2 linked regions of the Cricetulus griseus genome follow. The protein of the gene in region 1 binds, or shares a complex with, the protein of each later gene. Links are inferred from orthologs where the notes say so. Each region holds a gene or a part of one and is shown in the gene's direction. Other genes may lie near its edges.

Region 1 (3,685 bases):
CCAGAAGCAGCGAGCACCTCGCAGACGGTGTCAGCAGCCCAAAATGTTGAGTAGCCCTGAGGACACCATGTACTATAACCAGTTAAACGTGAGTTCAAAGTGGCCGTAAAGCCGTTTTACCGGCTTTGTTTCCAGTTAATAATTCTGTTATTAATACCTGTTCCAGCCCCTCCAGCCCCACCCCCACTCTCTTCTGCTCTCCTCGTGAACATGTGCTTAGGCTCTTTATCTGTTGCTTTCATGTCAGGATGTCTGCCTTCACGGTGAATAATTGATGTGGTTTATCAAAGACGAGCAAGATGCATGCTTCATCAGGCTCACTTGAGCCCTTTGATCAAAAAAATTATGCTGTGACTTCTGATATTATCAGCATCTGCTTGCATTCAACACAAAATCACTTTGAATTAAAAATTAACGACTTGGTGCTTTGCTTTGACTGTGTGTTCTTGGCCCTATCCACAGGGAACTCTAGAATATCAAGGGAGCCAGAGGAAGCCAAGAAAACTTGGGTAAATATCTGTCTTCTTAGTTTCCAGCAACTGTAAACAGAAGGGGTCCTTTGTGATATCACAGAAAAGGCCAAACTTTCCAGGGAGCCTTCTAAAAATAGTCCCCCCACCCACCCCCTGCGGATATTGCCACGGTTATTGGCACCAGCAATTCTTTTTCACAGTAGCAAGCACACAAAACTTGAATCCGTTCTGTCCAGAAAGGTTGAAATTGTCACCTAAGACAAATGTTATTTCTCCTTAGCATGCCAAGGAATGGGAATGGGACTGGTTGTGAGTTGTACAAAACTCTCCTTCCACAAGCAAGAGCACTTTCCCACGTGTAAATAGGCACTCTCTCCATGTTTAATATTTCCTTGGGCTTCACACTTGCAAGGAATGATGAGGAGTGCCTGGTCCTTTCGTTTGTCGGCATCACAGTGGAGACCAGAAGGGTATTGGCACTGTTCTGAACTGAGGGAGGTCAGGAGCAGAACTGTTTCTAGAGGACACAGATGGAGACAGACGACTATATAAAACTCAAGTTACAATATGACCACAACTTTTAGGTACTACTTACCTCGGCCCAGAAAAGTGAAAATCTTCTTCATCAAGGTGTAGACCTGATCCAACACCCACTCCCTCCCCCTACAACTTTAGGTTCAACAGGGATGATCATGGTATCTGTTTGATATCTCCTGTTGAAAATCCTCCTTTCTTGATGTGGTAGACTTTGGGGAGCCCCTTTTGAGGGCCTTACCCTGCCTGGGGAGTAGAGGGGGGATGGTTAGGGGCAGGTGGGATGTTGGGTGGGGGAGGGAGAGAGAGAAGGGATTGACATCTGAAGCAAGCTTGTTCCTAATTTGAACTAATAAAAGAATAAAATTAAAAAAAAAAAAAGAAGAAAATCCTCCTTTCTCTCTTGCAGACAAATTAAAGTGCTGGATGGGGAAGACCAATACTACAAATGCCTCTCCCCTGAGACCTGTGCCCCTGAGGAAAATGACTCATCCCACACTTTTTTTTCCCCCTCATCACCCAGAGGAGACTCCGTTGCTCAACACTGAGCTGTGCTTCCCAGCCCCAAATGTGCCCCAGGTAGAAGCAATTGTGGTAACTGATCACCTAATAGGAAATCACTGTCATGGGGTCAGCTTCCTTGGACAGAGCCTTGCCTCAACCTTGCTGAACAACTCACAGATCCCTGAAGATTCTGTCTCTTGATCCCCTTCACCTGCCCTGCAGCCTGAATCGTGGAACCCCTGTTCTCTTCATCCCTGCCTTGTCAATGCAGTCAGGGTGGACAGTCCCACCACAGGCCAACTGTGGAATCTGATAACTTGTCTATCCGCCCCCCAGAGGAATCCAGCAATCTCCTTCCTGCTCTTCTCAACTCCCACCCACTTTGCTGGGCTTTCTATATCTGCTTCCCCAGGATCAGGGCTTCACTGCCGAGTGCACTGTTTCCAGGAAGAGTAGTCTGTTTAGATGCAGGAGTCAAAGTCTTTCAGAGCCTTTCTACGGGGCAAGTGAATGCCTCTGTTGCATGCTGTTATGTTGAGATAGTCTCTGACTGTTTCTTCATGCTTGCCAAGATAAGCCCATCACTCCAGCCTTGGAAAGCAGAATGTGGAGTGAGAATTTGGGCCTGTGCAAGTGCAGGCCACCTGATTTCCCCAGTCAGCTGTCTCCATAGGCTGTGAGGGGACAGATTTCATCTTGTCCATCTCTGTGTTTCTCAGACCTAGCTCAGGGCCTAGGTGAGTGGACACCCAGTGCATAAGAATGAATTTATTTAGAGCAGCATGACTGGCAGGGGAGTTACTGATATGTGACAGATGAGTAACCACTTTCTTATATATAAGGAAGCTCTGATGTTTTGCCCAAGGTTGAGCTGTTCTTATTGTAATTGTAATGGCATTATACAGTGTCATACTCAGTACAATTCAATATGAGCAGCTTTCTTAAGCACGGATTCTGTGTAAAACAATGTGGAAAGCTGCTGTGTGCTGTAAAAGCACAACCTCATCAAAGACTCCTCTAGAGCAGATGCTCTTAATATTTTCTTTCTCTAAAATCCTTAGTTAATTTGAGAAAAAGACTTTAAAGGTCTTAGAAAAATATTATCAGAGGTTTTTCTCTTTAATGGGGGGCACTGTAAGTATTTGTGAAGAGAAACAATTAAGTGAAGCTGGTGTGTTAACTTTCCCCAGGGAGACGTGAACAAACCTCTGCACACCCCAGACAAGACAACAGTGACAGACCGAAGAGAAGAATCCACCCAAGTCTAGCTTCTTGAACCAGGGGGTTTAACTGGGCTTCCTGAGGCAGGAAGGATGAAACAGAAGTTAAGAGCACTTGCTCTTTTATTGTTGTTTTGTTATTGTTGCTTTTTGTTTTTCAAGACAGGGTTTCTCTGTGTAGTCCTGGCCATCTTGGAACTCACTCTGTAGACTAGGCTGGTCTCGAACTCAGAAATTCATCCGTCTCTGCCTTTCAAGTACTGGGATTAAAGGTGTGCACCACTACTTCCAGGCAAGAGCACTTGTTCTTGCAGAAGACCTGGTTCAGTTCCCAGCACCCACCCACATGTTGGCCTACAAATAGATAAGTCCAGTTCCAGGGGATCTGACGCTCTCTTCTGAACAAAGCACACATGTGATGCATATACACACTTCAACAGAAACACTCATACATATAAAATAAAATAAATAAATAAATCCAAAAAGGGAACAATTGGGGTTACAGACAGGAGCATGGGTAAAGGGCTGCCTACAGAGGCATGGGCAATTTAGAGACAATTTTACCACCAAAGAATACCCCCTATAGCAACAGCTAAACCCTCACGGAGAGGTAGGGCCCTGTATATAGTCTTGCACACTTTTTACATTTCCACAAGGAAACATTAGTGAGTGCTGTCTTGCCTTGAATCCAAGATGGCAATGGCTATACCATGTCCAGAGAACAGAGCTCCACAAGAGAGACATGAAAAGAGCTCAGAAGTTATAATGGTACAAGAAATAGCTACAGACAGTTTTAGTTGCTACATTGTGCTTTTTTAAAAAAAGATATGTCTTGGGGTTTTTTCAGATCTTCATTTAAAAAGGTAATGTTTATATGGTGTGAGAATAGAGCTTAAGAAATAATGCTTAGAGTGATTCTGTGATAGAGTATTTGCCTAACGTATGCAGGGCTTA
Region 2 (3,816 bases), on another chromosome or scaffold:
TCCAGTGCAGCCTGGGTCTGCCTGAGATGTATCTGCCTAGAAATTCTGGAAGACAGACGTGGGGCCATGTAGCCACCTGCTTTGTGGGGAATCAGGACCCAGTAACTTTTCTGCATCTTCCTTTTTCCCTCCCTGTGATCTATCTGGCTTCACCTTTAGGATACTGGTCGGGTCACTGGTCGGGTCACTCAGAAGGCCCCTTCTGAGCAGGCCATCACCAAGTACCATTATCTGCACCATAGGAGGTCACCTAGAGGGTCTTAACGCATCCATATTCTGCTGTCCCTGAGTTCTCCATGTCTCCCGGGCTGGAAGTGCATGCCCCTGGCCTGCAAATCTCAGGCAAGCTGGTCCTGAAGCTGGCTGTGTGGTTGTGTTTTAGGAGGAAGAGCAGGAGGCTCGGCTGGCCAACCTGCCTGCCTGGAGGCGAGACATTCTTCGGAAGAAGCTGGAGGAGGAGCGGTGAGCACCTGGTGGAGGCTGCTTGGCGGGCGTGCATCTTGACTCTGGGGTTGTGATGCCATCTAATACTGTCTCTTTCTCATTCCAGGGAGCAGAAGCGGTAAGTATGGTACTGGCCCAAACCCGCTACTTCTTCCTACACCCAGTCACAGAGGCTTATCTCTTTTACTCCTTCATCCAGCCCATGCTTTCAGTCCCTGTACCATAAACTTTCAGTTCCCAATAGTGACATAGACCCTTAGTTGTTTAGCACCCACCCCTCAAAGTCTACTGCTCATGCTCTGATCACATTCTTAAGTTACCCAGGCCCTCCTCCGCCATCTTCTATCATTAAATCTTGCTTTCACCCACTGTGATGACAAACCTATAATCCCACTTAGTGGGTATAGGCAGGGTTAGGAGTTCAAGATTATCTTGGTTTAACAGTCAATTCAAGGCCAACCTGGCCTACAGGTGACATTGTCTCAAAACAAAAGCCTACCCTTGCTATCCTACAGTGCTGGTTTTTCTGTTTTAATTATGTGTATGTCAGCCAGGTGGCAGTGGCGCACACCTTTAGTACCAGCACTTGGGGAGGCAGAGGCAGGTGGATCTCTGTGAGTTCGAGGCCAGCCTGGTCTACCACAGTGAGTTCTAGGACAGCCAGGACTGTTACACAGAGAAGCCCTGCCTTGAAAAACAAACAAAAATTTTGTGTGTGTCTGCGTGTCTGTGTGTGGGTAAGTACACATGTGTGAAGGTGCCTATGGAGGCCAGAGGTGTCATATTCCCTTGGAGCTGGAGTTACAAGTGGTTATGAGCTACCCAGTGTGGGTGCTGGGAATCCAACCTGGGTCCTCTGCAGAGTAGTACACGATCTTAATTGATAAACCATCTCTCCAGCCCCAAGGACAGTTATTTTAACCAAAGATCAACAAACTTGATCATTTCCCCTCAACTTAATTTCTGTACCCAGGAATCTATCTACTGCCAGGCAGAAGTACAATGGGCAACACTTACATAATTTTAAATTTTGTGAGAAAATTTTATAAGATATAGGTAAGTTTAATTTTAATACTTTAACTTAATGTAGAAAATGTATTGAGAGTAATTATTAATGAGAGCTAGGCATTTGGCTCAGTCGGTGGAGTGCTTGCCCGGCATGCAAGAAAAAAAGAAGCTGCTGGGCATTGGTGGTGCACGCCTTTAATCCCAGCACTCGGAAGGCAGAGGCAGGTGGATCTCTGTGAGTTTGAGACTAGCCTGGTCTACAAGAGTTAGTTCCAGGATAGGCTCCAAAGCCACAGAGAAACCCTGTCTCGAAAAACAAACAAACAAACAAAAAAATCAGTCTCCAGTATTGCATAATTCTGGAGTCATGGGATTAGAGAGAGGGTTCAATAGTTAAAACACTTGTTGCTCTTCCAGAGGACTCAGGTTCAACTCCCAGTACCCACAAGGCAGCTCACAACCATCTGTAATTCCAGTTTTAGAGGATCAATGACTTCTTTCAGCCCCCTTCTGCACCGGGCATACATGTGATACACAGACATGGACACAGGCAAAATGCTTGTACACACTCAATTAAATGAAATTGAAAACAGAATAACAAACTCCCGCAGTGTTGGCACAGGCCTCTAATTCTAGCAAAGTTCAAACAGCCTTGTCAGCAAAGCCCCCCCCCTCTCTCATACACACACACACACACACACACACACACACACACACACACACACACACGACATTTTTCTTTCCCTTAAAAGAAAAAAAAAAAAAACCCAGTTAGGCAGTAGTGGTACACACCTTTAGTCCCAGCACTCAGGAGGTGGATCTCTGTGAGTTCAAGGCCAGCCTGGCCTACAGAGTGAGTGCCAGGACAGGCTTCAAAGCTACACAGAGAAACCCTGTCTCAAAAAAGAAAAGAAAGGAAAACACCAAGAAAAAAAAAAAAACTTGATTTTAAAAATACCATGTGCATGCCAATTTGAACAGTTTAATTGCTCAATAACGGAATATTATTAGTGGTGACCTGTCACCGAGTTGGGGCTCAAAGCTGAGTGTTCTAGGCAAGCACTCTACTGGGGAGCTATATCCCCAGTCCCTAGCCTTGTGTTCTGAGAAGCTGTCCCTAGCTAGCTTGCTGGCCTGTTCCCCAGTAATGAGATCCCCAATGGCTCAACACTATTCCCTGGTAATTTAGATTGAGGCTCCCTAACAACTCAAGTCCTGTCTCCAATGTCAGGCCTCCTGTCACTGATCCCCTCAACTCCTTAACATTCAATCCTCACACAGGGTCACCTAATGACCCAGCACCTCTTTCCTGTAACACTCCTCCGCAAAACAATCCAACTTCAGCCTCCACTTACCCATCTCTCCTGAGTAACCCTGCAACTCCAATACGACCCCATGAAAACCCTGGCTCCTAAGCAGAGAAGGCCCTGCTCTCATTAACTCCTCTGTCCCACTGCCATCCTGGTGTCTGGCCGGGCCCCAGTACCTGGCCTCAGGCATCACTGAGTTTTGCCACCCATAAACAGAAAAGAGGAGGAGCGACAAAAGCAGGAGGAAATACAGAAGGCGAAAGAACAGTCCGAGAAGCTGCGGACACTAGGCTACGATGAGGCCAAGCTCGCACCCTGGCAGCGACAGGTCATCTTGAAGAAGGGGGAGATCCCAAAGTAATAGGAGTCTCAGCCTTTTGCATGTGGCCTCACAAGTTCTGAGAGATGGGGACCGGTCCCCCAGCCCCCGCCCCATCCTGTCAGGTTGGTGCGGAAGGGCTGGGAGCCTTGCCACCCTTCCCTTCGGTGCCGGAACCCTCCCTGTTTCCCCTCCCTGGCCCCATATCCCCAGCCCTGCTGCTGGAGTGCTTGCGTACTGCTGTTGTCGCCTGGAAAAAAAGTGCCCAAGTCGCTGACGCAAAAAAAAGAAAGAAAAGAAAAAGAGCGAGAGAAAAAAAGACGCTGCTTATTTGCATGCTCACTTACATATATTTGCATGTTCGTCTGCCTTGCGCTGAGCTCTCCCCAGGCCCGTGGGTGGTGACTTTTCCTGCAGGGCGCAAGCCCGCCTGCAGCCCCCTCCCCCGCAGCCCGGAACCCACATTGCTAGCGCATCCTGGGTGGAGGCAGACCCCGAGCTCGGGGAAGGGGTTTTCCTCGCTCCACGACCCAGATCTGTGCTAGCCAAGGCCAGGCTGCATTTCTCATCCCCGACGAGGGTTTCCTCTCAGTCAACTGTTTACCAGAAACGATGAAACTTGCCTGCTGGGGCGGAGCTGCGGCTCCCGAGGGGCCCCAACTTAACTCCCCCACCCCAATTAAGCCCTCCTAGCCCCCAGCCAGGACCTTAGCGCTCCTCTGACCCTTTCACTGT

What was found.
Region 2: the proteins of Myo3b (region 1) and espin are in contact, whole or in part, in a crystal structure (PDB 5ET1), measured with the Mus musculus proteins. The link is inferred for Cricetulus griseus from reciprocal best matches to the Homo sapiens genes MYO3B and ESPN. Residues at the interface, in XP_017174528.1 of Mus musculus: Arg1223, Arg1224, Gln1226, Gln1227, Pro1228, Lys1229, Met1230, Leu1231, Ser1232, Ser1233, Asp1236, Thr1237, Met1238, Tyr1239, Tyr1240, Asn1241, Gln1242, Leu1243; in NP_997570.1 of Mus musculus: Leu35, Ala37, His41, Arg45, Ala67, Asn69, Ala71, His75, Asp76, Ala79, Thr80, Asp101, Ser103, Leu110, Arg113, Phe114, Thr135, Thr137, Ala139, His143, Tyr144, Ala147, Thr169, Asn171, Tyr177, Leu178, Gln181, Ala203, Asp205, Met207.

Annotation. Positions count from the first base shown.
Region 1 is NC_048599.1:104,748,809-104,752,493, reverse strand, and holds the end of Myo3b (myosin-IIIb), read left to right. Parts: coding exon 1-88; intron 89-462; coding exon 463-509; intron 510-1,416; coding exon 1,417-1,555; 3' UTR 1,556-1,586; intron 1,587-2,701; 3' UTR 2,702-2,903; downstream 2,904-3,685.
Region 2 is NC_048595.1:4,240,070-4,243,885, forward strand, and holds part of espin, read left to right. Parts: intron 1-382; coding exon 383-462; intron 463-550; coding exon 551-562; intron 563-2,978; coding exon 2,979-3,123; 3' UTR 3,124-3,816. UniProt on the Homo sapiens protein: Multifunctional actin-bundling protein. Plays a major role in regulating the organization, dimension, dynamics and signaling capacities of the actin filament-rich microvilli in the mechanosensory and chemosensory cells.